Linked DNA regions of Oreochromis niloticus. The protein of the gene in region 3 purifies or fractionates together with the protein of the main gene of each other region. This does not show direct contact. Links are inferred from orthologs where the notes say so. Each region holds a gene or a part of one and is shown on either strand. Other genes may lie near its edges.

What was found.
Region 1: the proteins of tyrosine-protein phosphatase non-receptor type 14 (region 3) and wwc1 purify together in Homo sapiens (affinity purification with mass spectrometry; 7 studies listed by BioGRID and IntAct, counting the BioPlex papers as one, with this or other methods). This does not show direct contact. The link is inferred for Oreochromis niloticus from reciprocal best matches to the Homo sapiens genes PTPN14 and WWC1.
Region 2: the proteins of tyrosine-protein phosphatase non-receptor type 14 (region 3) and si:dkeyp-72e1.9 purify together in Homo sapiens (affinity purification with mass spectrometry; 3 studies listed by BioGRID and IntAct, counting the BioPlex papers as one, with this or other methods). This does not show direct contact. The link is inferred for Oreochromis niloticus from reciprocal best matches to the Homo sapiens genes PTPN14 and STXBP4.

The regions. Positions count from the first base shown.
Region 1 is NC_031975.2:30,432,623-30,442,884, forward strand, and holds the start of wwc1 (protein KIBRA), read left to right. Parts: upstream 1-6,261; 5' UTR 6,262-7,118; coding exon 7,119-7,237; intron 7,238-10,262. Other genes in the region: arl10 (ADP-ribosylation factor-like 10), read right to left, coding at 1,013-1,150. UniProt on the Homo sapiens protein: Regulator of the Hippo signaling pathway, also known as the Salvador-Warts-Hippo (SWH) pathway.
Region 2 is NC_031969.2:440,249-450,309, reverse strand, and holds the start of si:dkeyp-72e1.9 (syntaxin-binding protein 4), read left to right. Parts: upstream 1-5,274; 5' UTR 5,275-5,304; coding exon 5,305-5,405; intron 5,406-8,618; coding exon 8,619-8,692; intron 8,693-10,061. UniProt on the Homo sapiens protein: Plays a role in the translocation of transport vesicles from the cytoplasm to the plasma membrane. Inhibits the translocation of SLC2A4 from intracellular vesicles to the plasma membrane by STX4A binding and preventing the interaction between STX4A and VAMP2.
Region 3 is NC_031980.2:10,014,549-10,025,528, reverse strand, and holds the start of tyrosine-protein phosphatase non-receptor type 14, read left to right. Parts: upstream 1-6,702; 5' UTR 6,703-7,115; intron 7,116-10,980. UniProt on the Homo sapiens protein: Protein tyrosine phosphatase which may play a role in the regulation of lymphangiogenesis, cell-cell adhesion, cell-matrix adhesion, cell migration, cell growth and also regulates TGF-beta gene expression, thereby modulating epithelial-mesenchymal transition.

The DNA.
Region 1 (10,262 bases), on a different chromosome or scaffold from region 3:
AAATCAGAACTCTGTAAACTGAGAACACAATCAGCAAATCTAATCGCTGTAATCTTTGCTTCTTTCACAGGTGACGGGAATCACTCTGAGTTTAGCTGGAGAAGCCGTCGGTCATGAGGATGTTAAAAAAGCTGATCAGAAAACAAACGTGTCTGAGAAGAATTTACTTAAGCGTACTTTTAAATCTTTGGCCAAAAAACCCCCCTAAAAACAAAAAACATGAATCTAAAAAAATTAAGCTAGCACAAAAGTTTCCGAACCTGCAGTTCCTCAAATGGCCACCTGAGGTCCCAGTTTAAGATGTAAACAGTTTCCATCTCTGGATGATTTCTCTCGTTTACTAATACATTAAAGCACCATAGATAAAATATCGCTGTAGCTCCGTGACGGTATAATTAATGAGGAGTAGCTCACGAGTCGCCCCTGCTGAAGCTCTGTCTTAACTGCACCCGATTTCTGTACAGTGGGATTAACAGGAAGTAGAACAGCTTCCTTCGGTCAAGGGTGGGTGACCCCATGTCTTAAATATCACTCGTGTCCATGGCTACTAATGTGGAAGGGGCGGGGCTTTTGACCTACCGTTCAACCACCCACCAGGGGGCGATCAATGCACCTCTGGAGCTGTCACGTTACATAATGCTGTCCTGTTAATATAAAATGAATTGCATTACATCAAAGTCTTCAAATCATGCTCACTACATTCCCCCACCTTCATCACCACCATCATCATCATCATTAATTATCAGCAACTGCTTCATTATCAGCACCACCTCCTTCTTTTCTCCTTCTTCATCTTTCTGTTTTCTCATAATGCCACCGGCACATCTCCACCAAGCATCAGCACATCTCCAGCAGCTCTAATGACTCTGCAGCGTCTCCTCGCCTCAGTCAGAGGTCCCTGAACGCGCTCCTCTCCAAGTTAAACAGTTCAGCTAAATTTAAATTAAATCGATTAAACGTCTAAAATGACCAAACTCAGAAGGTGAGTAACCTGAGTAACCTGCCCTCCCACCTCTTTGATGGTGCAGTACTCCGCCTGCGGGGACCATATCCGCCTCTTGTAGAAGTAGTTCAGCGCGATGAAGAGCGCGGAGCCGAGGGCAGCCACGGCGGCGGTCAGGGCGATGGAAATGTGCCGGAGGAGAACCATAGGTGGCGGGTGAGGTGGCGGAGGGAGCCGGGGACGGGAGCCGGACGCACCGCTGCTGCTTGTTCCTGGACGCCAACGGCTCGACTGACTTCCTCGTTCCTCGCGGCTCCGCGCTCGTGCTGCGGCTGGGCGCGCTACATGTGACCGAGCCGCTCCGATGTTTTTGTTCCCAGACGCAGAAAAAATGCTGCGTTCAGGCTCAGCTCGGAAATTTCCCCTCTCCTCTGTGCAAGCGCGTTTAACTAATACACTGACGGTCAGCACACTGTGACTACTTTGATCACTGATTAAGAACAAAATGTACTTTTTTCTTTTTTAATCTGTCATAATCCAATGATTTATATGATGATTTTATTTGTTCCTGGCCTACTAACGTTGATACATTTATTTATTATTGCGTTATAATAATATAAAATTATTGAATTTTGTGAATATGCATATTTGTACGAGAGCCCGACTGATACCGATATTTGGTGATTTAAGCCTCCAATATATCTGCCGAAGACTTCGACTTTTAGACACATGAAACATAAACAGATTCCACTCATATTTTGTTGTTTGGTGTTATTAATGAGATAACAGTGCAGCTTATAAAGAGTCTTCTTTTCTTGTTAGAAGTCATGGATAACTATTTACACAAATTCTGCTCGGATCAGCTGATTATTGTATTTGTAACGTTCCAAGCACCTGTTGCAAACAGCGAAGTTCTAGCGCACTCCCTGGTGGACAAACCAGACTATGCAGCAAAAAACATTCATAACGTGATTTAAAAGTTCTTCTTTAATTCCTTCTTTACTTTTTCACTTATCAGCTGTTTTAAATCCCAAGGCCAATATAAAGGTAGACAGCTAGTATTTGTGTATATATACTGGTACATCAGATACTAATATTTAATTTTTAACATTATTTTAAAATAGTAAAAAGAAACTTTAAAAACACTAATTATGAATTATTTATAAAGAAAATTTACATTTTATTCTAACAATCTTACTGAATTACTAAATGAATAAATACTCTTATCATGCTGTAGAATTTCTTAGATTAATATTGATTTAATAACATCGAATCACTGCACAATATTGAAACAGTCTCTCCTACTTTTTTTTTTTAGAGTAAAACTTATTTATTAAAATTAACTCATTAATAAAAAATGTATTCATTTATTTCCAACATTTCAGAAAAAGTATTGCAATATTGTAGCAATATATTAAATTATATTACAAATGTTGATATTATAGCAATAATTATTACTGAATTCATAATTTATAGTGATGTGGAGATTTTTAATTTTATTCAAATATACTTTAATTTTAATTTATTATAAAAATAACACATATTTAATGCATATTGTCAAAATAACATTAAATTAAATCTGTTATTCATTTTTTAATGTTATGACCTGTACAGAACAACCTTAAGGACCTAAATAATTGTTTTATTCCAAACAAAATGAAGCCCTGAACACAGCTCCACATGTGTAAGGCCGCCGTGTGTTCTCTTTAAAACGTGCTTAAATCAAGTGACATTTAAACAACAATACAAAACCTTAATGTCTGTGTCATCTCCATAAATCCATCTCTAAAAACATGACCTTACATATGTGATAGGTGTTTATAAACTGTAATAAAAGTCTTCCTCCATGTACAGTCATCTTGCTTGTTTTGCAGATGTCTTCTGCAAAACAAGCAACAAGAAAAGCAGCAGTACCCCACAGTGATGTACCCCACAGTGAAGTGCACTGTGGGATTTACTGTTGCTGTAACCAATTACAATAACATTAAAAAGAAATATATTTCATGCTTCACTTCAAATTTAGTGGATATTTTATTCCTCTCATATAAAACAATTATGAAGGGAAGTACAGTGTTTGAATATTTCCTCCTGAAAAAGCAGCACAAATCTAGCAAAGTGCTTCATTAAGAAAGCACTGAAGCTGAAAACACGTCTGTTAGTGAGGGCGTTTTCTTTTTTTCCACAGTAACAGAGGCTTCATGGAGGCCTGATCCTGCATCCCACAGCAGGCACAGCTTTATTCACTGCTTCCTGAATACAGCAGTGCCAAAAGAGTGACACAGCAGCCGGGATAATGATGGAGAACCAGCGCCGTTTTCCCCTTTATAAAAGGCCAGTAGTGATATAAACCAGTTTAAAATAAAACTAAATAAAATGAAAAATACAAAATAAAATAAAAATAAAATGCAATTAACCCAAGACAGCAGTCAAAGTGATGTTTATTTTCTTTTGCAAATCAGTAAATCTAAACATAGTTTTAGTTGAATATGAGAAAATATTTTTTTGTGACGTTATGTTCTAAGTTGAAATCTTTGTATAAGTTTTTGTTGTTCAAATTTAGATGATGAGGAAATGATTAAGATGTAAACATAAGGGGGTAGGGCTAAATAAGTATATACTTCTGCCTACTCCTTTTTAAACAACTGCATGGAATGATATTATGAAATGTTGGTGAATGTATATGTTTGAAATAAAAATGAACTGAACTGAACTGAAATCTGTGATAATAATAATAATGATAATCATGGGTAACAGGTATTAGGGCACTAGTTCTGGGTCATATCTGCTCATTCTAGTGATTTAGACGACCAGATTAGTGCAGTGGGAGCTAATGTGGACTTTTTCCTACAGCGCTTGAAGGCATCAGAATTGTAAAATGTTAGGATGTTTGGGTTTCACTGTCAAACACAGCAGGTATTGATGTTACTGTGCAAAGCTTGGTGCTATATAAATATTCAAAAATTTGCGTACTGAACTGCAGCTCTGTTTGCAAACAGAACATAAAACATTGATATGCAAATGAATTAATCCAAATCTTTTGATTGGACATAGTCCAAAAAAAAATATGTCACATGATGTTCATTATGAATTTAGCAACAGCTAAGCAATAGAAAACTGTTGTTTAATTTGTTTAATGCTAAAAACAAACAAAAATTAAAATAACTGATGATGTGAATTAAAACCATGACTGGACATGAAGAAGAGCTTCGCCCAGAGTTTTTACAGATAAATATAGGGAGGGTTTCAGCTCTCTGTGGAAGACTGTGCATGATTCATTCATGGTACATAAAGTCGTTAAGATTCAGAGAAATCTTCATACACAAGGTTAAAAACCAGGCTGTGAGCCTCAGGCCTTCAGGCAGCACAGCACCAAAGACAGAAATGTGGTGATTCTGTGGTAGAAATCAATTTCTTAAAAACACGTCAGTGAATGCAGCTCATCACTGCGTCCTTCAGTTTCACTTGAATCTCTGTGAAGGAAAAACAGAAACAAGGCCGCGAGATAAACACTGCCGTGAAATTCAGTTTGGAAATCGTGAACATCGTGTTCTCAGGGCTAAAGAAGAGAGGAACCTTTCAGCTGGAGATTCAGTTAAAGTCAATTTAATTCTGAGAAAACCCCAACAATCAGATGACTCCTATGAGCACACGCTTTGGTGACAGTGGGAAGGTAAAACTCCCTTTTAACAGGAAGAAATCTCGGGCGGAACCAGGCTCAGGGAGGGGCGGGGCCATCTGCTGGATAGGATAAAGAGATGCTTTGGAAGAGAGCCAGAGATTAATTATAACTGATGATTAAATGTAGAGAGGTGTATAAAAACACAGTTAGTGAAGAAGATGCACCCAGTGCATCATGGGAAACCCTCAGCAGCCTAAGCTTAATGCAGCCATGCCGGTAACATCTGCACTATGAAGCAGTTTCACTCTTTGTTCTTGACGTTGGATTCTTGTGTGAAGAAATATCTGCACGATGGAAGAATCTGCAGGTGATGATAACCATCACTTCTCCCAACCTATTCAGCACTGCGGAATATTGACCTCCAGGGGGCGCTGTGGGCTTGAAAGTTTGGGCAGGCTGGGAGGTTTAACTCTGTAAATATCTGCTAACAAATAAGTGAATAACATTTAAAACCAGGCGTTATGAATAAAACACTAATGAATGAGCCACAAAACTGAACAAAACTTTAAGTATCACCATAACTCACAGCCTACAATGAAACTTTCTGTCAATAAAAATAATAAAAGTTATAAATGTGGAAGTTTATCTGGGTATTTTTGTTTTGTTTATTTGTTTGATTTAATTTTTTTTAGACCAAATAATTTAAAAAAGTACAAAACAGCCAAAATATAACGGTTAAAATTTACCAATAATAATAATAGTTATTGTTACTATTAATATAGTAATAATAAATAATAATCCATAAATATCCATATAATAAAAAATCTAAAATGAAATAGGTTAAGATAAGGACTTTTTTTTCAAAATTCTGAATGGATTCTTACTGTTGTAGTAGAATAAAAGTATAAATCATAAATAAAATTATACCACAAACTATAGAATATGCATAAATGCATAATTTGCATTTAAATATTAAATTAAGGTAGAACAGCAATGCTTCCATAAAAATAAAAATAATTTAATGAAAACAGAGTTACTGAGATTTGAAATTTTTGTTTTTGAAGTTTTTGCTTTCAAAATAATTCACTTTGATTCACTTTACAGAGTAGATTTGCTAGTTTTGCTAGTTTCAGGTGGATGTTTGATTATTATTTTTAATTATGAAAGTTGTTTGTCAGGAGCAAGATTTTGGAAAGTCGGAACAGCTGTTTGAATAAAAACACGCCACGTGTGCATTTCTATTTTACTGTAGGTTTTATTGTAAGTTCTTTCCACACTAAAGGCAAGTCTTTATTCTTAGTGAATTTTAATCTTGTTTGTTACTCACTTAACTTAAGTGAGTAACTTAACTCACACCTAGTCTTGACTTTTTCAGTTATAGCCTTTTTAACTAACGTTTAGCTATAGTTCACTACAACATTCTCTTTTTTTTTAAACATAGATTTTGTTAATTTTAGTGATATTTCAATACAATAACCAAAAGTATTTACATTTAATTTTTACCATCGCTATAGGCCTTTTACTATGTTGTGTTATTCATAGAACCCTGTATATTTTATTCTTCTTCCTCCTGCTTTAAAACAATAATTTCCCTCATGGGATCAGTAAAAGTACTTTTCGGATATTGTTTTGCCCGGAAGTCTTATTTTGTTTCCTGGAGTTTGTCAACAAATGTTTTATTTTGAAACCGGAAATCGGGTTGAGTGGCTGCAGTTAGCTTGATCGGTTCGAGCGAAGTCATCGGGACCGAAGAAGACTTTACCGCCGCCGCTGCCGCTGCCTCCCTCTGCCCGGCTTTCACCGGAGGATTTTTACGGGATAACAAAGAAGTTCTTCGGCTATTTAGCGGATTTTAACGGCTGTGGATTCTCCCGGTACTTTTCTCCTTTCTCCAAGCGGCGGGCGGACTGTTCGCTGTCCCGCAGGCTGGAGGCTAGCGTCGGTTACTGCGGCTAAACATGGTGGCCTGTAGGCACGGAGAGGAGCCGAGCCCCAGCTCTGCGGGTTTGGGGGTGTTTTAAAGGAACGCGAGGGCGTTTTGGTTGCTGCTCCACCCTTTTCTAAGTCTGCGCTTTGTTAATCTGGAGGTTTCTACTGGGCTCCCCGTGTGTTTCCGTTAAACCCGAGCAGCAAGACCACCGGCGGCAGCAGGACCCCGTCCGTGTTCGGCGGAGCGTGGATAATCATCCCGAAAAAGTTCTTCCAGGCCGCCTCAAAGTTTGCCATCGGACCTGGGAAACTCCAGACCGTCCTGGACACTCCTCCAGCTGCTGTGTTTACGTTACGGATGCTTTGAGGCTCTCACACCGGGATGAATTGTTGCACAAGTGCAGCCTGATGAAACAGTTTGTTTTACCCCCTTCCTCCTCCTCCTGTTCAGGGTCTGATTGTTAATCTGAGGATTATTATGGATTGTTACCATGGCCTAATCCAACCGGACTCTGAATTTGGGGACTAACTGCAGATGTAGAGGCTGACTGTGATGGTGATGATGATGGTATCTCTTCGCGATGATTCTGAGTAGAGAGGAGTTCATTACATGGAGACTCGCCTGACATGCCGAGGAAGGAGTTGCCACTACCTGACGGTTGGGAGGAAGCCAGAGACTTTGATGGCAAAGTTTACTACATTGACCACATTAACCAGTGCACGAGCTGGATCGACCCCAGAGACAGGTAGGACTGCGTGAGAACAGGTGCCGTCGACCTTTGACCTCTGGCAGATAGTCAAAACACATACATGTGATAAATACATGCCGTGTTAAAGGCTCCATTCATGCGGTAAACGAGGTGGTGTGAGCCTTTTAGGCCAAACATCGTTGTCTGTTCATGAAGTCAATACAGAGTTCCACACCATGTTTGCACTGAAGTACCTTGATATGGATTTAATGTGCAATATTTAAACCTGCTGAAGAGGCTTTTCTGTTTAGGGAACTGTGGCAGGTAAAAGCCAGTCACACTGACCCCAGTAATACCTGATTTTAGGGACCTTGTTCCCAGTTTTCTGGCAGGTTGTTATTTGATAAGACATCATAGTAAAATCAGTGGTAGCAGGGGATGGAGGAGAGTTGGTATGAACCTTCCAATAAAAGAGTTGCCCAGTGGCTGACCAACGGCTAGAGACCGCCATCGGCAAACCTCTGCTACCTTGCTTTGATCACCTGCAGTTTGCTTGGAGGACGCCCACTCATTTGCAAACATTCACCAACTAACCACCAAGCAATTGCATAGAACCTCCCAAAACTACTCGCCAACTGGTCGGGAATACTTTATTTTTCCCTAGCAACCGCTGGTTACCAGGGAAACACTGACCAGTCGGTTTCACAGCAACCACTCACAGCTGGATGGTGGAATACTTGTTATTTCCTAGCAACCGGTGGTTGCCGGGTAGTCTCCAGCTGGTGTGACTGAGGTGTGAATGAAATGGGTGGCTGCTGGAGTCGTGGTGGGTGAAACAGAAGGTAATGGCTACCTGATGAATCCGCATCACAGGTGTGCACAATAATTAATTAATTGCAGTGAAAGCCAATCACCTGTGTGAATTATTATCTGTAAATTAGAGTGAATGCATTTTATGTATATATATATACTTTGGTAAGTATGGGAAAAACTCATTTTTACCCAGTAATGGTGCTTTTATTGCTGCAGTGAGGCGGCTGGAAGCTAGTGAAGTATTTTTGAGCTCTTGGCAGCCTGAACATGTTCATTTATTAATGTTTAATCAGACCACCTAGACTGCTCTTAAATAACTTTTTAGCAACGTTATTATTTTTGGCATCTGGATGGTTTGTCATTTTGTGTTTGTAGTAGATAATTTTTGATATCTCGCTAATGATTAAACGGGTCAGTAATGAACAGCCAGTCCAGTGAGGTTTGTTCCTCCAAATAACTCACTCCAAATACCAGTTTACCTCTGGGTGAGGAATCATTCCTTCTCTCGGGAATAATCTGAGGATGGGAACCTCGAGCTGAGTGTGTCACAGAGCAGAAAGCCTCATTCAGTTTGTTAACCTGTCATAAAACCTTGGTTATCTCACAGCTCAGGATGCCAGAGGTGCTTTCTTGTTTGCTCGTTTACATTCCTGCTGTCAGGCGTGGAGGTGTGTTACCTGTTCTTTTCTCCTCTCTCATAGAAACCATCAGTGTAATAGGCTTAAAGAGGCGAGCGTGACACGGCCTCGTATGTTCAGATCGCCACAGCGCAGAGGGGAGGGCGGGTTTTCACTGGATTTTTCAGTCTTACCAGTCACTTAAGACCCCTCAGACTTTGACACCAAATCCCTTTAATGCCTAATGTCTGGAAATCTCAAGGGTTGTTTTTTTTTTCTTTTCCGGGTGACAGAACCTGGATTCTTTCCCCCCAGTGTGTTTGGTTTACGTTTGTCGCTCCGTTTGACTCCTGATTTCCACATTTTCCAGCTAAAACTACAAGAAATCAGAAGATACAGGAGCCAGTGGCCATCATCATCATCAGTAAGAGTATTCCTCTGACTGCTGCTGAGCTCTGCTTTGAGTTCATTTGACCACGTTGTGCCTGAGAAGTGGTCGTGCTTCCAGCTGTCTGATTAAAATGAGGATGATTCCATCTTGACTCCATCTGAACTGAGTCCAGAATAATCTGCATCCAGATTAGTTTGTGATATTTTCTTTAGAACATCTTTAGAACATCTGCCTGTTTTTCTTAATCGAGAACATTTGACTCCCAGAATCATTCCAAACCTCTGATAAAGTTTCCTGTAAGTAAACGGACTCAGAAAATGCCTCTGGGGGGAGGGGCTGACTCTGCATGGAGGCATGATTCGTCAGAAGTCTGTTTTACCGCATTTAACAGAAATCTTCACATTTTTCCCACAATTTCCAAGCATGTGATATTCCAGGAATGTCTGCTATGTTTCATTAAAAACTCTGGTGAATAAAACAGTTCGAAAACATTTTCTGGCAATCTTTAGACGTCCTGCAGGTAAATAACCAGACAAACAAGCCAAACCAATCGCATAGCAGCCTAATAAATAACAGCTAATAAACAAGAAGCACTCTGAGAGTGCAAACTGCCACCAACCCTCTCGCTCTGTGGGCGGCCTTTGCTTTGAAGGGAACAGCGCTGTATTTTTTACACATTCACATTGTTTTCTTTGTTCTTTTTAAATGAACTTGGGGAAGTTTGTTGTGCAGTAAAAATCAGAGAAGGGCAGCATGACAGATGTTTACTTTGATTACACAAAGATGGAGTTTTAAATAACTGGACATGAAGAACCTGAGCTTGTGATTAGTGCTGGGCGATATGGAAAAAATATTTATCACAATATGAATTATTTCATATCACGATAACGATATATATCACGATATACCACCTGACCTGTGGTCATCTGGAAAGTATGCAGTCTGTAAACAGCGAGTGGAGAGGGTGCAGTCTTTGTTTTTGAGTTACCGTAAAGCATGTCGCAAATCCGGGTGCACGTAAAGCAGCACCAAAACCACAAGACGGAGTTTCATGGGAAAAATATCATTTTTTTATACTTTATTTTCTCTTGCATAAATTTAAGAGTATGTATAGTGAGAAGACAACACTAATATATTTGCCACAGGCTATTTAACCCTTTAAGACCTACCATAGAACCAAGTCTGCCAGAGCTTATCTTTACATTTTACATGCTGTAGTGCCTTTTGTGGGAGCATTTCAAGTTGCTATACATCAATACAA
Region 2 (10,061 bases), on a different chromosome or scaffold from region 3:
CATATGGTTAAAATAATTCAAATGCAGTAAATATACATGTTTTTCATATAAATATAGTCTATAACTTAATTATTGTCTGTAGCCCACATAATTAAACACTTTAGTTGCATAAAACATGTGAGTTTTGATTTTATCTACAGTACAGCCTATATAATAAATAAATATGTAGCCCAATGAGTATGTAGAAAGCTACACAACATGGGGCGGTTCATTTACAAACACAGGACTAACTTAAGTTTCACACTGTTTTTTTTCACAAAATGTCAGAAATCTGCACTGTCATGAACAAAAATTTAAACCTAATTTTTCATGATTTGTTGGATGAACCCACTGAGGTCTGAAATACAACCGGACATTTTGACTCCTTTTGAGTTTACGTTTGTATTTCACCCTCAAATTGTTTCAATGTATTTTTTCCCCTTGCCTTGTTTGGTATCATTCTTTTCAGCTCAACCTCATGTGTCTGAATTTAGTTGTTTTTTCACTGACATACTGCATTAATATTACTGATCTGAAATCACACAACGTACTTAAATTCCTAGTAGTATTTTTTTTACCGTAACCCCCCCCCCCCCCCCCCCCCCCACACACACATGTTGAGTAAATTATTTTTATAACATGAAATGCAAATATAAATTGTACATTTTCAAAAGTGAAGCACACATTTTGTAAACATATACAACTATTTATCTATAAATGCAGCCAATACACCTGGCAGGGTTTCTTTTGTACAACCATTTAAAAATATTACTAAAACTAAAATGAGAGAACAATCAGGTTTCGCAATAAGATGCCCCACAAATGATGTGTGCCAGTAACAAAAGACAGAGGAGAGCAGCACAGGGAGAAACCTGCAGGCCTGACAGCAGCAGGTGTATCACTCCGCTGGTTTTCTACTTAGTGACAGTGTTTACATTACAAATGTGCTTTTGTGACATTCATTAGTGCCCTCACTGACACACAAAACAAAACAACGACTACACAACACAACACACTAATGATACACTCCACGCTGAACATCACAAATCTCCCACATCTAAAAACTCTCTCTCTCACTCGCTCGCTCTCTCACTCGCTGCCGTTACCCTCACTCCCAAAACTTTCCCCTCTTCCTAAACAACCAAATCCCACGTGACTTTTTTTTTAAAAAATGGTACAATTTCCCATCGATAGGAAAGAGGTGGCTTTTTTCTTTCTTTACTGTTTTCTTGCTGTCCTTAGAAAACGCTTAAAAAAATTAAAAAACACACAAAAAAACCATGACGACAGTATTTAAAGAAAAGCAAGGCTTATGTATATTTTTTATCATAACTCTGGATTTATTGGCCCGCATTTACAGTTTAAAAGCCAATGTATTCCCAGTGCTTGGGAACTGTATGCAGCGTGGACAGCCGAGTTAGTGATGAGGGTCTGTTTGTGTTTTGTGGAAAGTGTCTGGGACTGTGAAGCCTTGCCTGGTGCAGGCTCTAAAGGATGAGATGCTTCACATTTGGAGACAAATCTCAGGTTGGCTACCACTGCAGTCAAGTATTAGCCAAGCTTACATCTGTGCTCCCAAATCCTGTCTCTGGAGTCAGTACAAGACCTCAGGGTTTGGTAAGGGCCTGGAAAGACTCCAGTTTCTTTAATCCCAACAGCTGAAAAACATCACAAACCTTGTCCTGGCTTTAGACAACTCACTGGTTTAATGGTTTTGAACTGTTTTTACTATATCTCTGCTGTCACTGTAATAATGGTATATTTTATTGAACTGAAAAACTGAAAGATTGAACAGTAAGGTTCTTTTTTGTTTTAATAACAATATCTTTAACTAGGTCTTGTAAACCTGAGTGTGTAATCACACGTGAGTCCACGTGATAGTCAGACTGGGCTAGGATCAGTTTTTGAAAAGCTTAAAAGATGAATTTACCAGCACGGACTGAATTCATGAATCCAGCGTGTAGTCGGAACAGAATTCAGAGAGCGTCAGGGTCTATCAGCATCAATAACCACACTGCTGTCCTTTTAAAGAATATGATGTGGATCCACACCAGATTAATCTGCTCGTCAACTGGTTTCATTAAATTTAGCTTGTTTATGTCATTTTGTTCATGGACAGATAGAATCTTTTATTAGTGCATGAGTATCGTTCAATATAACAGCCTAATATAAGCTGACTGGTTTAAATCTTAGTCACCTGAACTGAAATGCACTGAGTATACACTTCTGCATTTTCATTCATTTTGAGTAGTCTCTGAAACTGATCTCTGAGGAAGCCTGGCTAGTCCCCATACTGCAGCAGTAATAAGGATAACTGTGTCTAAGTTACAGACCCGAGTTCATTTTTCAGACTTGCCAGGCTGGCTCTCTCTGGGCTCCTGTTTGCCCCACTGAGCACAGCTATTTACTGTGTCTAAATGAACCCATGCAGGCGATATCTCCGCACAGCCAAGCCTCAAACATGGATGTGAAACTCCAATTCATATCTTGGCTCTTTATCCCATCAGTGACATCCGATTCACAAAAAACAAAAACAGATTTAAAACCTAAAAATCAGAGTGTTAAATAAGACTACAGAGGTCAGTGGGGACATTCAACTAACATAGCAGTTTAGTGCTGGTAATGGTAACATCAGTGATAGGATTTATGCTTCAAACATCATTAATGTGTTATTTATGCTGAACACGCCTGGGTGTCTTTTGTTTATCTGTTGGTATTTTTATCAATTTGTGTTTAGCCTAACATGGCAAAAACGTCTCCCAAAACAATCTATGTTGCACAGACTAAAAGTTTAAATGTACTTTCCAGGAAACATGCAGGTTGTATATCAAAAATACTGAGGAACCAACTGCAGACATGACGGCAGGCTCCAAGAACACAAGAACAAGCTTTTGTTAGAAAGTTAAAGTCCAAAAACACACAGACCGTAGAATAGAAACTGTTCAACAGAGGCAAACAGGACTATACACACAGAGTAAATGCTAATGGTAATTAGATACAGGTGTACACAATCAACACAACCACAGGCAGGAAGTAAAGCTAAATGCAAGAAACAGAAAAAGGAAGTAATGTTAACTAAAGGAAGAAGCTCAGAGACTGATGTAAAGTTAGGAACTAATAAACGTTAGTATGCACAGTAACTAGAACTCAGTGAGTTAAGAAGAAAATGTAAAGAAGCAGGAATGAAAGAGAAAACACGTAAAGATAATTAGGGCAGCTTTAGTGTGAAGTAATAGCAATACACATTTAAAAAGTTTTAACAGATTGAAGCAAAGCAGACTGCAGTCTGTTTCACACACAAAGCAAGAAATAAACCCACTGAGATGTAACAACTCTGTGTGTGTCATACAGTCTGATCTGTGCTTGGAGTATTTGAACAGCCTTCTTGCAGAGGCCTATATTTAGCACGTGCTTGTGCCATATGGATTTGTGTGCATAAGCTTATCATGTCTTCATCAATATCATCTCTCCATATCTGCTTGGCAGCTGCGGTGCATCATGATTGGAAATATGCAGAGTATATGTTAACAACCACAAGCTAACATCCAGGCTTTTGCACCACAGCACAGACATGCTTCAAAGGCTCAAAGTGCCTCTAGGATTTGCCAGGTAGGTTTTCAGCTGTTTTCGTGGCTCAGGCTGAAGCTGCTCACAAATATCTCAGCACCCGGTGCTCCAGGAAACGTTCCTACGAATTTTTCTGTTATTTATCGTTTGTGTCAAAGATTTCTTCTGCTTGGACCTCCTGCAGCCTCAGGCCCGTGTCACTCAGCAACTTTATTTGGGGGCAGCACTTCATAATACAGCTCACAGATAATGGTGTAATTACTGACCAGTCACCATGATTTCTTTATTCGTTTAGGGGGGTAACTTTCAGCAACTAAAATTACCATATGAGAAAGAATGTTTATGTATTTTTGAATTATTAAGTGGCTTTGGACATTGGTAAATGACACTGTAAGGATCTACATGTAATGATAATTTCAGGGAATTTTAGAGGCAAGAACCTTAAAAAATATACTTAGTGTGTTTTTTCTATTCAAACCTCCACTTGTACTGTACCTACCAGTAAGGATATTTTACTGATAGAAAATTACACCTCAAATCTAGAACAGTTACACACCAAATTCAATCAAAAAGAAACCACAGAGTGTATACTGGAACGCTCCCCCATTTATGAATGTAGTGTAATGTAACAGTGAATCCAAACACAGGCAGGTTCAGCAGGTTTCACCTGTGTCATGTTGCTGGGTGGAATCAGTGTGGGATTGCTCGGCTGTATGCACATTTCTTTTGCTTTGATCACTTTGAACAAACAGCTCAGTTACAGTGATCAGTGTTGTATCTTTAAGCGTTGTCGCCTCCATTTGATTGATTGATTTTGTCTTTGCATTAAATTCATTTTAGGGATCACGGATGAGGCTGTCTCTAACCAAAAACCCTTCCTAGCAGCACTGAGCTGAGACAGCACTGTGGTAACTTTTCTTTTTCTTTCTCGCATTTTTGTAACATCAGCTGATCAAAATACAGCCAAAATGAAGAATCGTTGTTTGAGTAGTGAAGATGACAGCACGGAAGGTCTGAATGACAAAAGATGAAGGCAGAGTAATGGATGTCATCTGGGGATTAAATTGCAGTTTCTAAATGGAGAGTAGGGCACTTGTGCATTAATGTGTTTAAAGGCTCGTAAGCCCCTCCCTCTCTTTGGCTCAACAACTTGTTAGCGCAATGGCCAATATCGTCTTAAAAGAAGCTGTGGTTGATACAAATGGAAGTGTGGGTAGAATCTATGGAAAGACTAATGTTCAAGCGTAACGTGGCCAAACACAATTAAACACGTTACCATAAAAGTAGCACAAACATCCACAGAGAGGGGAAAAGCCAGATTCCGTTGAATGGAGCTGTTCCCCGCAACAAAAATAAAGCCGCTGCACGGCCACAGCAAGAGAAAATGACAAGTGGGGAGAGAAATGTGTGAGAAACAAACCACCGAATCATTTCCAGCCTCAGAGGGGGTTTTTTTTTTTCATTTTCCACCGACTTTAGTTATGTAAGAGATTAACCGTGTGGCTGAAGGTGGAGATGTTTGGAGCGCACAGGCTGCTTCGCTGGAATTAGTGCCTGTGCACCGTCATGTGGCTGCTGGCTGAAGGCTGAACGCTGCGACCGAGCCTCCGCCTGTCTCACCGGAGAACCGGGCTCCATGTCAACATGCCAACGTTTTCAGTCATGTACAAAGGAGCTGTGATCATCAGCAGGTAAAAGCGAGCGGTTGTGTGTGCAGGTGGAGGTTAGTCTGTGTGACAGCAGCGGTGGAGTGACACGATGCTGACAGCTGAACTCTGTAAACACGGAGACGCGTTTACTAACCATAGCCCTGTCCCGTGGAAACCAAACACACCGCGTGTCTTCTCGGGCTTTATCTGGTAACCGTGACGCTGACTGTCCGTCTGTAACACAGGCGCATGTTTCTGCTTCGTGTCTCAGGCAGAGCCGTGCTTCATGCTCTTCTCTCAGGCTTATCGATATGTTCTAGTTTTCCGGGTGAGATGATGCAGTGATCTTTCTTGCATGTGCTACAAACGGATGAGCTCCACACCGGAGACCAGGTGCTGTCCCAAGTTTACTGTGAAAAGACTCTATGAGGCACTTTGTCAGCTCTCATGAACATGTTGGGAGCATTAGCGGGTTCCATTGTGGACATTTAATATTGAATCTGTGCTTTTATTGTGTGTGGCTCTTTGATTTTGTCCTTAAATGTTGCTGATTTGTTGATATGTTTTACCAAAGTTGGAACATTTACTGACAGACTTTTGGAAGCTTGTCTCATCGACTTTTTATCCGTTAGGGTGAATGATGCAGTCGGCAGTGTGGAGCTGCTTCAGGGAATTGTGCAGTTATGTTTACAGTATGTTTCTCATGCCACAAGTTATACTTCATCGATGTGTGTCTAACAACACAACCACTGAGGTTTTTGAATGGCACCAAGCTTCAGCGAGTGTATTCGTGACTCCTGTCATGCCCATAGACTGTATGAACCTGGATTCAGGGGTTAGTAGCTGTAGTTGCAAAAAGACTGTAAGTCCTGTAGTGTTACATGGGTAAACGGGCATCTGCTGTCACCTCTGGAAACACACAAGGCATTAACCAATGAGCAGGTGGTTTCATAGCTGGATCCACCCCTCACTGCCATATCCAGGTTGGAAACAAAGCGGTCGGTGATTCACATTGGCCTCATCCATCCGTTATGTTGTCTGTGGTCATGCCCATCAGGTTAACTTTTGCCACTGTATTGGTCTGAATGTGATATAACTCAGTGCACTCAATTTTTTTTTTTTTATGACAATTACTCAGCAAACGGTACCTGTAGACCTGAGGGTTAAACTGGGACTGGGGAAAGGGGGGAACCTTTGTAGCTCTTCAGTGGCAGGAAATGACTGATCAGCTGACCTGTGCTGGTTTTGAGGTTTAATGCTTTTTGTGGATTTTACCAGCTGGATTCTAAAATATATATGGAGATGTTACGTGAACCATCGTGGCTGCTTTCCAACTCCTGGCCAATGTGACCTTTGTACAACCACAATTCCAAAAAAGTTGGGATGTGGTGTAAAAACACATTTTATTCACAATAGAACATAGAGAAAGCATCAAATGTTTAAACTGAAACATTTTACTACAGTCCCGATCAAAAGTTTAAGACCACTTGAAAGTGTTGTTTTCAATAAACTGCATGATCAAAAAATATTTTGCCTCACTCCCATTTCTTCTTGTTGCATGTTGAAGCTCTACTTGGAACCTTGTTAAGATCCAACCATGCAAAATAGGATTTTTTGCCATTTTTCAAGTGGTCTTAAACTTTTGATCAGGACTGTATTTCATGAAAATGGCATCAACATCTTTCAAAAAAATTGGGTCAGGGCAACAAAAACTAAGTAAGTGGTACTGAAAAGAAACAGCTGGAGTAACATTTAGCAGCTAATTAGGTTAACTAGTAAGTAACACAGCTGGGTATGAAAAGAGTGTCGTGGAGAGGCAGAGGCTGATGAAAAAACTGCCAACAAACTGTGGTGCAGTTTCACAATTTTCTTTCGTTTTCTTTTTTTTTGTTTGCGATCTTTGGTCCTTCAAGCAGCATTGCATTAAAAACAGGCACAATTGTGTGGTGGAAATCGATGCATGGGCTCAGAAACACTTCCTGTGTGGGACCACAACTCGCCGTACTGTCCACACATGCAGGTTAAAGTTCCACCCTGCAAAGAAGAAGCCATATGTGAATATGATCAATGATTCTCTGGACCGAAGCTCATTTAAAATGGTCTGTAGCAAAGAGGAAAACCGATCTCTGGTCCGAGGAATACAAATCCAAAATTCTTTTTGGAAAATGTGGATGTAGCATTTTCAGTAGGATAAACGTTTCGTCACTCATTCAAGTGCAGGTTTCCCCAACCTTATAAACAGTATATTTGCATAAAAACTGAAACTAGCACCACTGAACAACGGGCTGTGAGGTCAGTTTCTTGATCATTAATATGCAAATTGTCATGACCATTGATCGAAAACAACCCAATGCAGTAAAATGAATCCAAACCACAAAAATACAAAGAACAACAGTGAATTCAGGTGTTCTAGTGTGAGACTTTCTATATCCATCCTTAACAGATGATGTTAAAATGTCCAGCTCCATGCTGAATGTTGCGTCTTTGTGTTATCAGCCAATGAGCTGGGCTATCAGAATATCATCTAAAGAATTTGAAGCTTGAAGACTGTTATTCTGTACACAGAGCTGCATTCTGCTGCGACATTCATAAAGCCCGGAGTTCAGAGTTTCCTCAGCCTCATTGTTTTTACTGGCAGCAGTGGTGAACCCTCTGCAGCTAAAATGTTGATAGTCCTTTTTTTTTCATTTGGGTGTAGACAGGAAGGGAACTGCAAACTAAAATAAAGTGCTAAAAAGACATCGTTCCAGATACCAAAAATGGTTTGTTCATTTGCAGTATTCTGCATTGTCTTTTGTAGTGTCTAATGAGGGAAGCAAAGGGATGCTTTGCAAGTGTTAGATGAGGATTAGTAATGAAGAAAAAAGGGGAAAGCTGCAGTGTGCAGTCCTCTTGTGCGGCATTATTGCATAAGATGAACAACATGTGTGCCAGCTCTATCTCTCAGAGATTATTGCTCACTGTGTGAGATCTTACCAAGATGCTTTTGAGTTACCCAATGCTGCCGTCTCATTTCTGCTTCCTCTGCTACTGTCACAGCTGTATTTGGTCTTGTCTTCAAACAGCAGTGTGAGGAAAAATACACCTTTGTGTTCATATTTTGAGAAAGATTTTTGACAGTAATGTATATACATAATGTATAGAAGACTCTCATTTGCACAACCAAGTATCTGCAGCACACACTCAAGACACACTCCTTGACTTGTGTGGTGACAAAGTCTCAGGCCTAGTCAGGATAAGCTATCTGAGGTTAAGTTCCCAACACTATAGTGCTCCTATGGATTCTGACTGTGTAGCTGTGCAGCCTGTGAAAGAAAATAGTTGGATTTTGGGTTTTTTTTCCCTATTTCGTCATCTTTTTCTTCCTCACTCTCCTTCCCTTCCCTGCTTCCCGCTTCCTTTTTATCCATTCACCTCTAACAGGACACTAATGGGTCCATACGGAGTCGACCGAGCTGTTCATTCCATGGAGTTTACAGACTGTGAGAATGGCCTAGGTAAGTCTTTTCTTACTTCTGTCCCCACAAGTAACACACCTCAACACTCGACTATTCTCCTTTGTGCTTGCAGAGGTCATATGTGTTGCTGCTTGTAGTTATTGCTCTGGCTCTTTAACTTCAATAAGATGCTCAACTTAAGCTCCTGCAAACCAAAGTTCTTTCATTTTTTCACTTGCACTTGTCTGACTGCTTACACAGCTCAAGTTTATTCAGTGAGGGAGACATTCAAATAGTGATTACTCAAAAAGTAGCTAGTACTCTGTAATGTAACGTAGTTAATAAAAAATGTCCATGAAATGACATTGACTTTAGTGATCCATTAGTTTGTGTACAATGCAAACTTTCCACAAGACATTAAAGGAAAAGAACGATTTTGGAAGTTCCATACATTGCAAACAAAAACTTACCAACACCTAGACCATTTGGACAAGAACAGGAAGACAACCAAACCAAAGACAGGATAAGTGGGTGGAAAGGAACCTCAGTGAACCTGAAAGAATGTGCTAGCCAAAGCCAATTTGGCATTTCTCCACAACAGCTGCAAATAGTGGATCTTTTCACAGTCTTGGAAACAGTGAGGATTAACAAATTAACACAACCTGAATTCCTCCGTCTAACCTCACAGTACAATAAGAGAAGGCCAACACATCCCTGAGTGAAGACCAAAACATCACCATATTACCAACTGACAAGGGGACATGCACTGTTGTTCTAAACTCAACTGATTATTACACCAAGATTCATACACTCCTCAGTGACAACAACCTATGTAGCCTTAACGTGAGACCCCACAAACAACTACAAAAAGAAAGTCACCAACTGTCTACAACAACTCCAAAGGAAAAGACAAGGATTGGCCTCCATACCACCGTTTGTACCCAGGGCATGCTATGGCCTGTACATATGGACTTCCAAAGATCCACAAAGAAGTTGGATCCAGATGAAACCATCGTGTCCTCTAATGTGGTCTCCCTTTTCACTTGTACAACCGAGGCAGTGGAAACTGTCAGTAAACAGCTACAGCAAGACCGCGCCATAGAAAACAGAATCAGCTTCACCCTGCCTTACCACCACATACAACCAGGGTTTCTACATCAAAATATGGATGTGCCATGGGCTCCCCAGTGTCACCCATTGTAGCCAACCTTTATAAGGAGGAAGTGGAAAGTAAAGTTTTTGGTTCTTTCAGAGGAACAGCACCTAAAGACCGGCACAGATGTGGATGACACCTGGGTCAAAATCAAAACCCAAGAAGTAGAAGAATAATAGTTTGCCATTTCTGGACTGTGCTGTGTTGAGGAGAATGGAAACCTCAACACTGAAGTTTAGCAGAAGCCCACACAGACAGGCTAGTACCTACTCTTTG
Region 3 (10,980 bases):
GTCATTTTGCTGGTAGTAGATGGAATAATGATGAAGGAGATTTAGTTCCAAAATCTTCAACATCACGTCAAAACAGCAGTTCCAGCAGCACAGTGATCTCAAACACACATTAAAACTGCTTTGGATTAGGTGAAGCAGATGACATTTAGCTTCTAGATTAACCACATATTAGTGATTAATCTAATATTTGCCTCACAGGAACAAAGTCCTGAGTTCAATTCCCAGGGTATTGAACCCATTCATCAGGGTAGGGTCTTTCTGTGTGGAGCTCACATGTTCTCCCCATGTTTGTGTGGGTTCTCTCTGGGTACTCTGGCTTCCTCCCACAGTCAAAAGACATGCAGTTGGTTGGGTTAGTGGGGTTCGGTTAATTGGTGATTCTAAATTGCCCGTAAGTGTGAATGTGAGTGCGAATGGTTGTCTGTCTCTATGTGTTAGCCCTGGCAACCTATCCAGGGTGTACCCTGCCTCTCGCTCTAAGACAGCTGTGATAGGCTGTGTTTGGGTGTATGTAGTGGCAATTTTCTGACCTTTTGTCGCTTCTGCATGAAGTTTCTGACTCCTGCTTTTTTAGGAGGAAGCTAGCATGCAATTCAGTAGTAAAAAACAAAGAGGCGAATGTAAAAAAAAAAAAAAGGAGAAAAAAGTAATTTATTCCACACAATACTAAAAACTACAAAACAAATGTCTCCAGTTGGAGTCCTGGTTACCTGTTCATGTTTTTGTACATACCAGTTTTATAACATCTACCAAAACTGTACAACAACAAAACAGATCAACAAAGCGGGACGAATTTACCAAGCATAATATCTTAAATTACAACAAACACTTAAATAATCAAGATCAAACATGACACATAACACAGATTAAATTAAACATTGCGCAACATATTCAAGTGAAATATTGGCCTGAGTTCTCCACGGCTCTAATAGAGTGAAAACACACTGATGTCCAGTCCATTTATGGGCTTATCGATCCAACAAGGCAAGGGTGTTGAAAGGTCATGTAAGATTGGGTGAGTTTGAGTCAATTTACCATCAGTCACAATTATGTCTAAAACAGCCAAACTGCATGTGAAAAAACCTCAGTCTACAGGTGACCCTCAGCAGAATGAAAACTGATGTTTTTCAGCCCCTCGTGTTTCCTTTCACAATAAGATACATGTATTTATAATTTAATTCAACAAGGTGAACTTTCATATACTGCTGTGGTGTTACTGAAGCCCAGGTTGCTTTGATTGAGACCTGTCCTTATTTTAGGGTCAGGTGTTCCTCATCTTCCTGTACCTTACAGCTGCCAAGTACTTCTGGAAAAAGAAATCAACATTGCAAGCAAGCTTGTCTGCTGATGGAAGCATGAAGTCCTGAGAAATCCCCTGGTAGCTGTGTTGACTTTGGATTTGATAAAACGTGGCTTCCCAAATCATCACAAAGAGTGTGAACACACTGGACTTCTGCTTGTCTCTGCTTTTCCTTTTCTCTTTTCTTTCTGTTTTTAATTTGAAAAGAGGTTTTGGATCACAATCCATTTCTTTTTCTCCTTAGCCCAGGTAGGACGCTGGTCTAAGATCGAGACAGCTGCAGCTCCTTTCCTGAAGACACCCGTGTGTTGTGGCTCTGGATGGACTGACACTATCCTCAGTCACTCCTTGTGGAGTGCTGCCAACTTCTTGGCTGCTGCTTGTGCACTTTTTCCTTCCACATTTTTCACTACCAGTCAACTTTCCATTAATATGCTTCAATAGAGCACTTTGTGAACAGCCAGCCTATTTAGCAATGATCTTCTGTGGCTTACCCTCTTTGTGGCGACTGTTGATCATCTGGGCCACTGTCAAGTCAGCCGTCTTCCTCGTGACTGTGGTTGCAGGTACAGAACTAGGCTGGATTACTGAAATTCTTTCTTTCTTTTTTATATGTATTTTGTTTGGTTTTTTTGTGTTTTTTTTTTAGCATTTATTTGATTGTACAGTGGAGAGAATACAGGCTAGCTGGAAAAAAAACATGTGGACCAGGTGCAGCAAATTGCCTCAGAGCTAATTCAAACCCAGGCCTCTGCGTTACCCTGGTTGCATATGGGCCACCTGCTTGATCCAGTGAGCTAAACTAGTCCCCTGGGTATTAGTGGATTTCTGATTTTCATGAGCTGTGAGCCATAATTTGAAAAAAGGCTAAAAATGTTTTACTTTACGTGTAATGAATATAGGAAATACACAATTAAAATTCGATATCTTTTCAAATTAAATTATGAACCAAAATATACTTTCACAATAAAACTTTGGTTTCAAGCCTTCTCATCTCTTCCATTAAGTTGCATTTTGAGTTTATTTGAAAGAAAAATAAACTGGTAGTAATCAGAATTACACATTTCTTGACTCTTAGCATTACTGCAGAAGTGAAAATCTGATATTCTGAAGTATCTAAACCAGTTTATTATGTGGCGTTCTTTCCACATTGTACACGTGGTTCTGATTTTCTTTGATTCTGATGTCGTTCTCTGGCTCAACATTTTTCTGAACTTAAGACAGGATGCTCTCTATTGAACCCAGCAGGGAATTTAATTTTCTGCATTTAACCCACGCCTAGAACCGTAGCAGAGGGAAACCTGTGCAGTGAATTAACATGGCATGTTTTGATGGCAACCAGTGTTCCCAGAGTAAACTCCAGATCACTTCCACCAAGCCCAGGTTCAAACCCAGAACCTCCTGTCACGGTTAACAAGAACGTAGACTCAAATACTGGACTCAGACACTGGCAGCAGTTTACAGATTGTATTCATAGGTAATACTGAAACAGAAATAATTAACTCAGGTAAGGGGAGCTCAACAGGAACATGACAGGGGATTCTTTCTGCAGGAGAGGGAGACAAGAGGAGATCCTGGTAAGTTAAATGGCAAAAGTTGAATCAAATTAAATGGGTGGAACAGAATTTTAGAAACGTAACTCCACAATTGCGTTATACGTGTACAATGACAATGAAAGAGTCCTTTTCCAAACCAAGGATACCAGCCAGTGTGAAGCACGCAGTCCTTCTTGATGAGATCTTCCAGGAGAGATCTTACTGAATAAACCAGCTTCAGTTAACTAAAGGGCAAACAAGAGAATCAGATTACTGATAGCATATTCTAAACAGGACAAATGAGTTCGGCACAGGGCCTGATTACCCCCATTGGTGACAATGATTTGATAAGGAATATATGCACCAGCCAGTCCTTAAATGCTGCCTTAAATGCCCAACTGAAGCCCAGGAATCCCAAAAAGGGACAGAAAATCCAACCCACCACTAACACTGAGACTGAGACAGAAGAAAAAAGGCCTCTCCAGGGCCAGCTGGGACCATGACACTTCCCTGCTGTGGGCAACAGCACTGACCACAGAGTAGCAGATGCGCAGCATCAGGAATAAATAGGAATAGAAAAAAATCCACGAAAGACTCGACACAGGACTTGAGAGATGCACCCGACCCTTCAGTTGATCCATGTAATGTTCACAGGAGCCTCATCAGCAAATATTACAACACTTCTGTTGAATTCAGGAGTGTTTCAAACTGTAGCATGGAATGAAGCAGTGATAGTATTTTGCGCTCCCAAGGCATCTCCCGCAGGAAATCTCAGGAAGCAAAAGGCAAGGCCTTTCCCCCAAAATGCCTGAAATAGAAAATAAAGAACATATTGTTTCACTTGGAGCTCTTGAAGCTGCAGTGTCCTTTTTAAAGGCCTGTTGAAAACTCTTACACTTGAACTGTTCAGTGCTTCAATAATTTTAGACCTTTTTTTGTTGTTGTTGGAATGCATGGACGTGTTTAATGTTTCCTTCAACTTTTGAACATTGTTGTTGTTTTCAAGAATCTCTTTTATCAGCTTGTTGATCATCAGAACTCGGCTGAGATCATCGTGCTGAATTTTTCACACATGACAGAGAAACAATCCCGGCAGAGCATTTCCTGTATTTTTTAGTTTGATATTCCAAAGAACTTTGTTAGTAATTCCTCATCTACTTTAAAAACATTTCTGTGTAAGTCTTAGGGGCTTGTGATTTTTTTAAATGTTTTTTTTTCTTGGTTGTATCTATAAAGTTTGAGAAGTTGGCAGTGTGATATTTCATCTGTCGTTCCAGAAGCAAAATGCAAAATGCATCTGCTGCTAATAATTACGCCCCCATGATACCATAGTTTATCATTACTGCTCGGAAGAATAGACGTTTAATATGCCGGTAAAGCAGGAGAAGGATGGAGGATGGAATTTGGACCTCAAGGCAACAGCTTAAACTGTCAGGTTTCTCAGTAGAAATATTTCCTACATAATTCTTAAATGCAGGGCTTTTGTTACGCTGCATATTCAAAGCTGTCCGTCCCACAAAACTGCAGTTGCTGCACGCATAACGTGGTAGGCTGTTAAATGCCACAGGTGTAACACAATATTTGCACTGAAGCAATAATTCATTTCAGGTTACTGGAAGTTCCAAAGGCTGGGTTTAGGATTAAAGATGATCTGTTCTAATATATCAATCAAAATCAACACCTGTTTCAAAATTAGAATCAGTTTTATTACGACTAGTTGTCAGATGGACAAGGACAAGGTCATGTCCTTATTTTCTTAGCTTACCTTTTTCACTTATTTCAAATTTTTTGAATGATTTAACTAGTATCATCTAAGATCCTGGTTCTCTGCTCCTGCTGGCTGTCAATTGCTTTTGAGCCACAAGAGGCTGCAATTCGGTCACAAATAAGATGGCTTGTGCTACCTTTGAATTAGTGCTATTTTCTGCCCAACTAATAAGCCTTATTTTAGTTTAGAGTAAATAAAAAGAAGCCGAGAATTTTGCTTCTTTTATGTGAAAACAATATTTTGAGGTGACTCTACTGCACTTTGATTGCTCTTACTGAGTCTCAGATCCTCCCAAAGAGGAGCTCAGCTGAATACCTCTTTAATAAAGCTGTGAGGGATGTTAATAATGAATCTGCACTTTTTTAAAAAAAAAAAGTATTTTTCCTCTCCTGTGGTATAATGAAATATTCCGCAGTGGTGTGCTTGTAGGATGCAAAGACTGATCATCAGCGGTGATATTTATGGAGTATGCTTTGAAATGGTCACTCGGGCTTGTAACGGCATGAAGCTAGTGGGTGAGGCACATTAAACAAGATATATTCTTCCTTTATAATATCCTCAAAGTCACTTGCAGTTTGTTATCCAGGCAGTCATTGCTCTATACATTACTGTATAATTTTAAGTCTATCAGTCTTAGGTCAAAACAGTTGTTTATATTTAATGAAATCTGAATATAGTCGACATGCATTTGAAAAAAAAGTTCATTATCGCTCCACCATGGCTGTAACTCAAAAGATCTGACATAAATAAGTGAGGGGACTCCTTTGTTCGACATTTAGTCACCTCTGTCCCCCCTGGAAAACCATTAAACGAAGAGGACTTCTCCCAGGAGCCCGGGATTCCTCGCATTCCTCAGGTCTGATGTCAGAGTGGAGGGGGGCGGCGCTCCTGAGGGGACGGCGCTGTTGCGTTCAGGTCCTCTTTCACAGTGCGACCTCTGAGGTGTGTGCGTGTGTGTGTGCGTGTGTGTGCGTGTGTGTGTGTGTGGGGGGGGGGGGTGCAAATGAGCGGCGAAAACGGCACGTCCAGTCTCATAGCCCAGTTGTCTCGTGTTTTTTTTAATAGCTTACTCAAGCAAGAGCAGTAATAATTTCCATCCATCCATCCATTCGCTTCCGCTTATCCTTTTCAGGGTCGCGGGGGGCGCTGGAGCCTATCCCAGCTGTCATAGGGCGAGAAGCGGGGTACACCCTGGACAGGTCGCCAGTCTGTCGCAGGGCCAACATACAGGGACAGACAACCATTCACACTCACATTCACTCGCACATTCACACCTAGTGGCAATTTGGATTATCCAATTAACCTATCCCCACAAGCTGCATGTCTTTGGACTGTGGGAGGAAGCCGGAGTACCCGGAGCGAACCCACGCACGGGGAGAACATGCAAACTCCACACAGAAAGACCCCGGCCTGATGTTGGAATTGAACTCAGGATCTGTGCGGCAACAGTGCTAACCACCGTGCCACCGTGCTGCCCCAGTAATAATTTAACAATACAACCCCCCCCCCCCAAAACTTTAAAACTCCACAAGTAAGATAATCCATTTTCGATGCTTTGTATTATTGTGTTTTGTCAAAATTAGATTAGATTATTGTGTCCTATCTTATTTTAATGTAAGAAAGCCTGCCTCAGATTAGGCTGCTGGAGTCTATCCAAGCAATTGTATTCTAAACGTAAAACTGCAATTTTTCACCAACTTACTGAGACTTATTATAATTAAAGCTTTTATAAAGGTCGTGGGCAATCACTGCAATCCACTAAAACTGTATTGTCATAATTACAAGCAGGCCTGCCAAATTCCCACCTTACTGCTTCTGAGTACAGTTTAGAGAAATTCAATGGACGAGTCTTTCCTTTGATTACTTAATTTGAAAAATGTTATAAATAAATTAATTAAAAAAAGAAATACTCACATATGATTACAAAAATAACAAATACACTCAATAAAAAGAAAAACTTTAATTTGACAATTAATTAATAGGTTTTTCCTCTCGGACTCTTTGACTATTATCTCGAACTTCAGCCTCTTGGGACGTTCAACGTAAGGCTCATTTTTCCGATGCAGTCTTCAGCTTTTGAACGTAGCTGCAGCAAGCGGCTCTGTCCGCCTGTCCTGAACGCCTCCATTGGACTAGAGGGACCACTATAAACATACGAAGAGTCCCAGCGAGAGAAGACCACGTCGCTTTATCCAAGTCGGACAACTTTTTGTGACTGTTTGTGTTTCCTAGAAAAAAATAAAAGGCAACAAAACTGCGAGAAGAAGGAGGCTCAAGATTTGGTCTGCCTCTGCGACTTTTTTGGTTGTTGTTAAGGTTGAGCTCATTTTGATGTGAGAAGACGCAGATTTTTCTTGTTCATGCCGGATTTTTATATTTTTTTTTATATTTTTTAAAGTTAGTTAAATAACTTAAGGTGGATTATCTGTTTGCCGTGAGTTCCAAACCTCGACAAGCAAAGAAGAGTTTCTTCAGCTGGGAGAAGAAATCGGCATGTAGCGCAGGATCAGGGGTGAGTTCTCTTTTAACGGGGGGGAAAAAAGCGAAAATCTACCTCAGTCAAAAAGAGTTCAGCTTTGCTCTTCATGGTTTCCTGCAGATCTGGAAGTAGATCCAAACTCTTGTAAAGTCCACAGTAGGAGTGCTTAGATGTAGGTCAAGTGACTTGGCCACGTAGGGCAAAAAGGAGATCCAAACTATTTTAATGCCCCCCTTTCTCCTGCACATAAACATGCATCACCATCACAGACAGAGCCTCTAAATCCCCCTCTACATCTAATAAGATGGGAGTCTGTGCGATTCCAGAGAAAACTGGGAAGTTAGAGAACCTGTGTGTGGCTGGAAAACCGCTGAAAGATTCCCCGGAGTTAATGAGGTAATCATGAAATTACACGACTGAACTGGGCTTTGGAGACCCAATGGAGCCCTCTGTAAGATCCAGTTTGGGTTTGGGCAGTGGGCTCATGCCATGTGGAGTGCGCAACACCCGGAATTTCTGGCCCTTCCTCATTTATTTGTCATTTTTGCATGTGTACATTACATTTCCATAATCCCTGACAGAGAATGCATCTGTAAATTCACCTCGTTGAATTGTATTAAACAAGCTTGGTGGCTGAATGGTGTGTTTGAGTATGAGCAGCCTTCCTCTATAAGCTGATGATGGACTGATGTCCTCACACCCTGGCTGCAAACTGTGTGTACTTGTTTGTGTAGAAAAGAAAAATGTGTTTGAACATGCACCTTGGACAACTAGCATTACTGTAAAAGGGGAGTAAAGGCAACACAGCATAGCTGCTGGAGGCGTAGGGTGTACACACACACACACACACACACACACACACACATCTGGCTGTCTTTATAAGCTCAAAGGCATGCTGCGTAAATTACATGGTGCCCGAGCAAGTGGCTTGGGTGTACACAGCAGTTTTAAAACACTGGTGGAGATTTTTAAAGGACTAAAAGGCAGAGTAGAAACCTCCATCCATGCTTCTCTTTTGTGGAGTAGAGAGTCACAAATCTAGTTTGTCTTTCAGTGCCATTTTTGGCACTCTCTTTCCTGCTTTTTATTCAAGGAAAGTTGCTGAAATGTTAATTCCCAAAAGGGGTGTTTTGTTGAAGGTCAGCCCGGTAAGATCATAATAGGTGTTTACTGCTTAATGTGAGCCTGCGTCTAAAAGGAAAAGTGGCTATTGTTTGTGTAGCCAATGGTCATTTGAGTCTAGAGGCCATTTGATTACGGTGTGGTGCAAACATACCTGTAATTTTGGTCAAGTGCTCACACTGTACCACAGGAAGAGAGGGGGAAAAAACAGGCAGCAGCAGCAGCAGCAGCAGCAGCAGTTATTGTAGTTATTGTTATAACAGTTTAACCAAAGTGGAAGAAATGCATAGAATTCCTTCGTAGTCAGCTTGTGGTTCACTTGTTATTTTACACCATAGCTGCACTGCAGTAGAAAATGGAAGGGGTGAAGAAGGCTATGACCTCTTTTTTGTGATTAAAAGTGATTACATGTCCAAGGCATTGACTTAAATACAGATGAAACTAATCTGCAATGAAAATAGGTGCTAATCTGCTGATAGCTTCTTTGGCCATACCCAATATAAAACACTCACATGTGCAACCAAAAGTCTCACATCTAATAGTAATGACACTGTAGTGTATTTTTCATAAATCAAGTGTTTCAGTGTGTAAATAATTGTCCCCTATATCAACTTACATGCTAATACTCTACCTTTAAATATACTTTTTGTATTGGAAAAACTTAGCAGTTATTTCTTGTCCTTGCAATGCTTTTAACTTTAGTTGTATACAAAGACTGTATTTAAATGATGGATGTAAGCGCCTCTATGTCACCTACTTCACAGGTCTGTGAAGTCCTGTTTTGAAGCCTCAATGCTAGGTTTGCCTTTGACTATGTTGCCGTTTTGGTGTGAGAAGTGACCGTATTTGGATGTTTAGGTGGAGCTCTGACTTCTTAGATGGGTTGTTACGGTTCTTTTAAGCCCACACAGAAAATTATGTTGCATTGTTGTCACTTCGGCCGGTCGTGTACCTCTCGATTTCTGTAACCTGGGTTGAAGACACAAGCGTACAATCGTGTCAGCTTTTAACACCATTTTAATGATGTATCACTACAGTAGCTCCGACATACAGATATACATTGGGAGATTTTGGAGCAGTTTAGAAAAACAAGACTTTTTGGGGAAAAAAAGCTAAAGAAAACAAGACGTTTCTAATCCTGAATTTACAATAGCTGATGGATTCTGCACACTGCAGGTGTGAGGGGAGTTTATTCCACAAATGACCCACACTAAATCCTGCCTCATCTTGTTTTCTTCTATTCCAAGTAAACCTGTTCCTGAGGACCTAAGAGGCCCAGAAGCCTCATAGCCCTCAAGTAGGTCAGCAATATATTTATGCTTTATAAACCATTAGCAGAATTCTAAAATCAGTCCTTTTACACACAGGAAGCCAATGCAACGAGTTCAAAATTTATGTAATATGATCCATTTTCAGCATTTTGAAAAAGCTGCAGCTGATTAATTGATGTTTTATTAAGACCAGTAAAAACTCCATTACAGTAATCTAGCCTACTGAAAATAAATGCATGAATAAGCTTTTCAGTTTCTTTCTTTGCCACAAGACCTTTGGTGAATTAGTGAAGTGTGAATCTATTCCCACAAGGTGCCAGCAGCAACAGCAGCATTAAAGCAGAGACGCAATATAACATCAAGTGACACAGCATAAGTCAAATGTAAGCACAAAAGTAACCGAGGTAATGTTTTCCTGCAAATTATAAGTCAAAGTAGTACGTGACTGCTTAACAGTTCACTTTAACAAGAATTAAAGTAACTTAACAGTGTACCTTTTCAGGATTTTGCACAATACTGTCATTGTCAACATTTGTTTACATTTGGGTTAGGGCTGTGCGATATGACCAAAATCTCATATCCCGATATAAGAATTCTATCGTCCCGATAACGATATAAATCACAAAAATGTAACATTTTCTGTAAATTATGTGAATCTCGGGCAGCTCGACTTGCGGGAAGTGTTTCCAGCTGCGCGTCATGTAGCTGGAGTCGAGTATTTTAACGGATGCATAAAACTATACATTTTTAGACATAAGTTGTAAGGCCGCCGTTTTCTTTGTGAGTATTTATTACACGGCGTGCTGCGGGGAAAAGCCTGTTCTAACGTTTGAGTCTAAGGTTTGTTTTTTAGCACCTGGCGGCTCTTGTTTTGCTTCTCATCCGTAAATAATCTGCTCTTTCACGTGATTGAGTTTATTTTGAAAAGTCTCAACAGGATCTTGAGCTTTATTGTGAAGGGTTTATGTGGAACATAAACAAGCGGACACGCGATGGTGTTACCGTCATTGTTGCTAACCGCAAGGCATAAAAACAAGCGCTTGTCCGTCCGTAGTGTGGTTATATTAAATATAAGAGAGAGAGAGAGAAATTACGAAATTAATATAGCCACTACAGTGACCATCAAAACGATGAAAAAATATTGCCGTAAACAGTTTATTTTGCGACACCACGAAACAAACGATAGCGTAAAATGAAACGATAGACGTTTTTATATCGTCATCCGATATATATCGTTATATCGACCAGCCCTTATTTGGGTTGCACATCACTGGCTGCTAGCATCTCCTCCTTTGTAGCCTGCTTGTATTAGATGTCATGTTTTTTGCTTCATGTGGTGGAGCAAGTTTGTTGTCTTCATCTTTAGCGGGAGCAGTTTTTTTTTCACATAGTTTGTAAAGAGCTTTGTTTGAAATTTGTGAAGTAGCTCCTTTTAAGGTATCTGGGCTTGGGTCACATAAAAACGAATACAGTCTTTATCGCGAATGATATGATCATTAAAATGA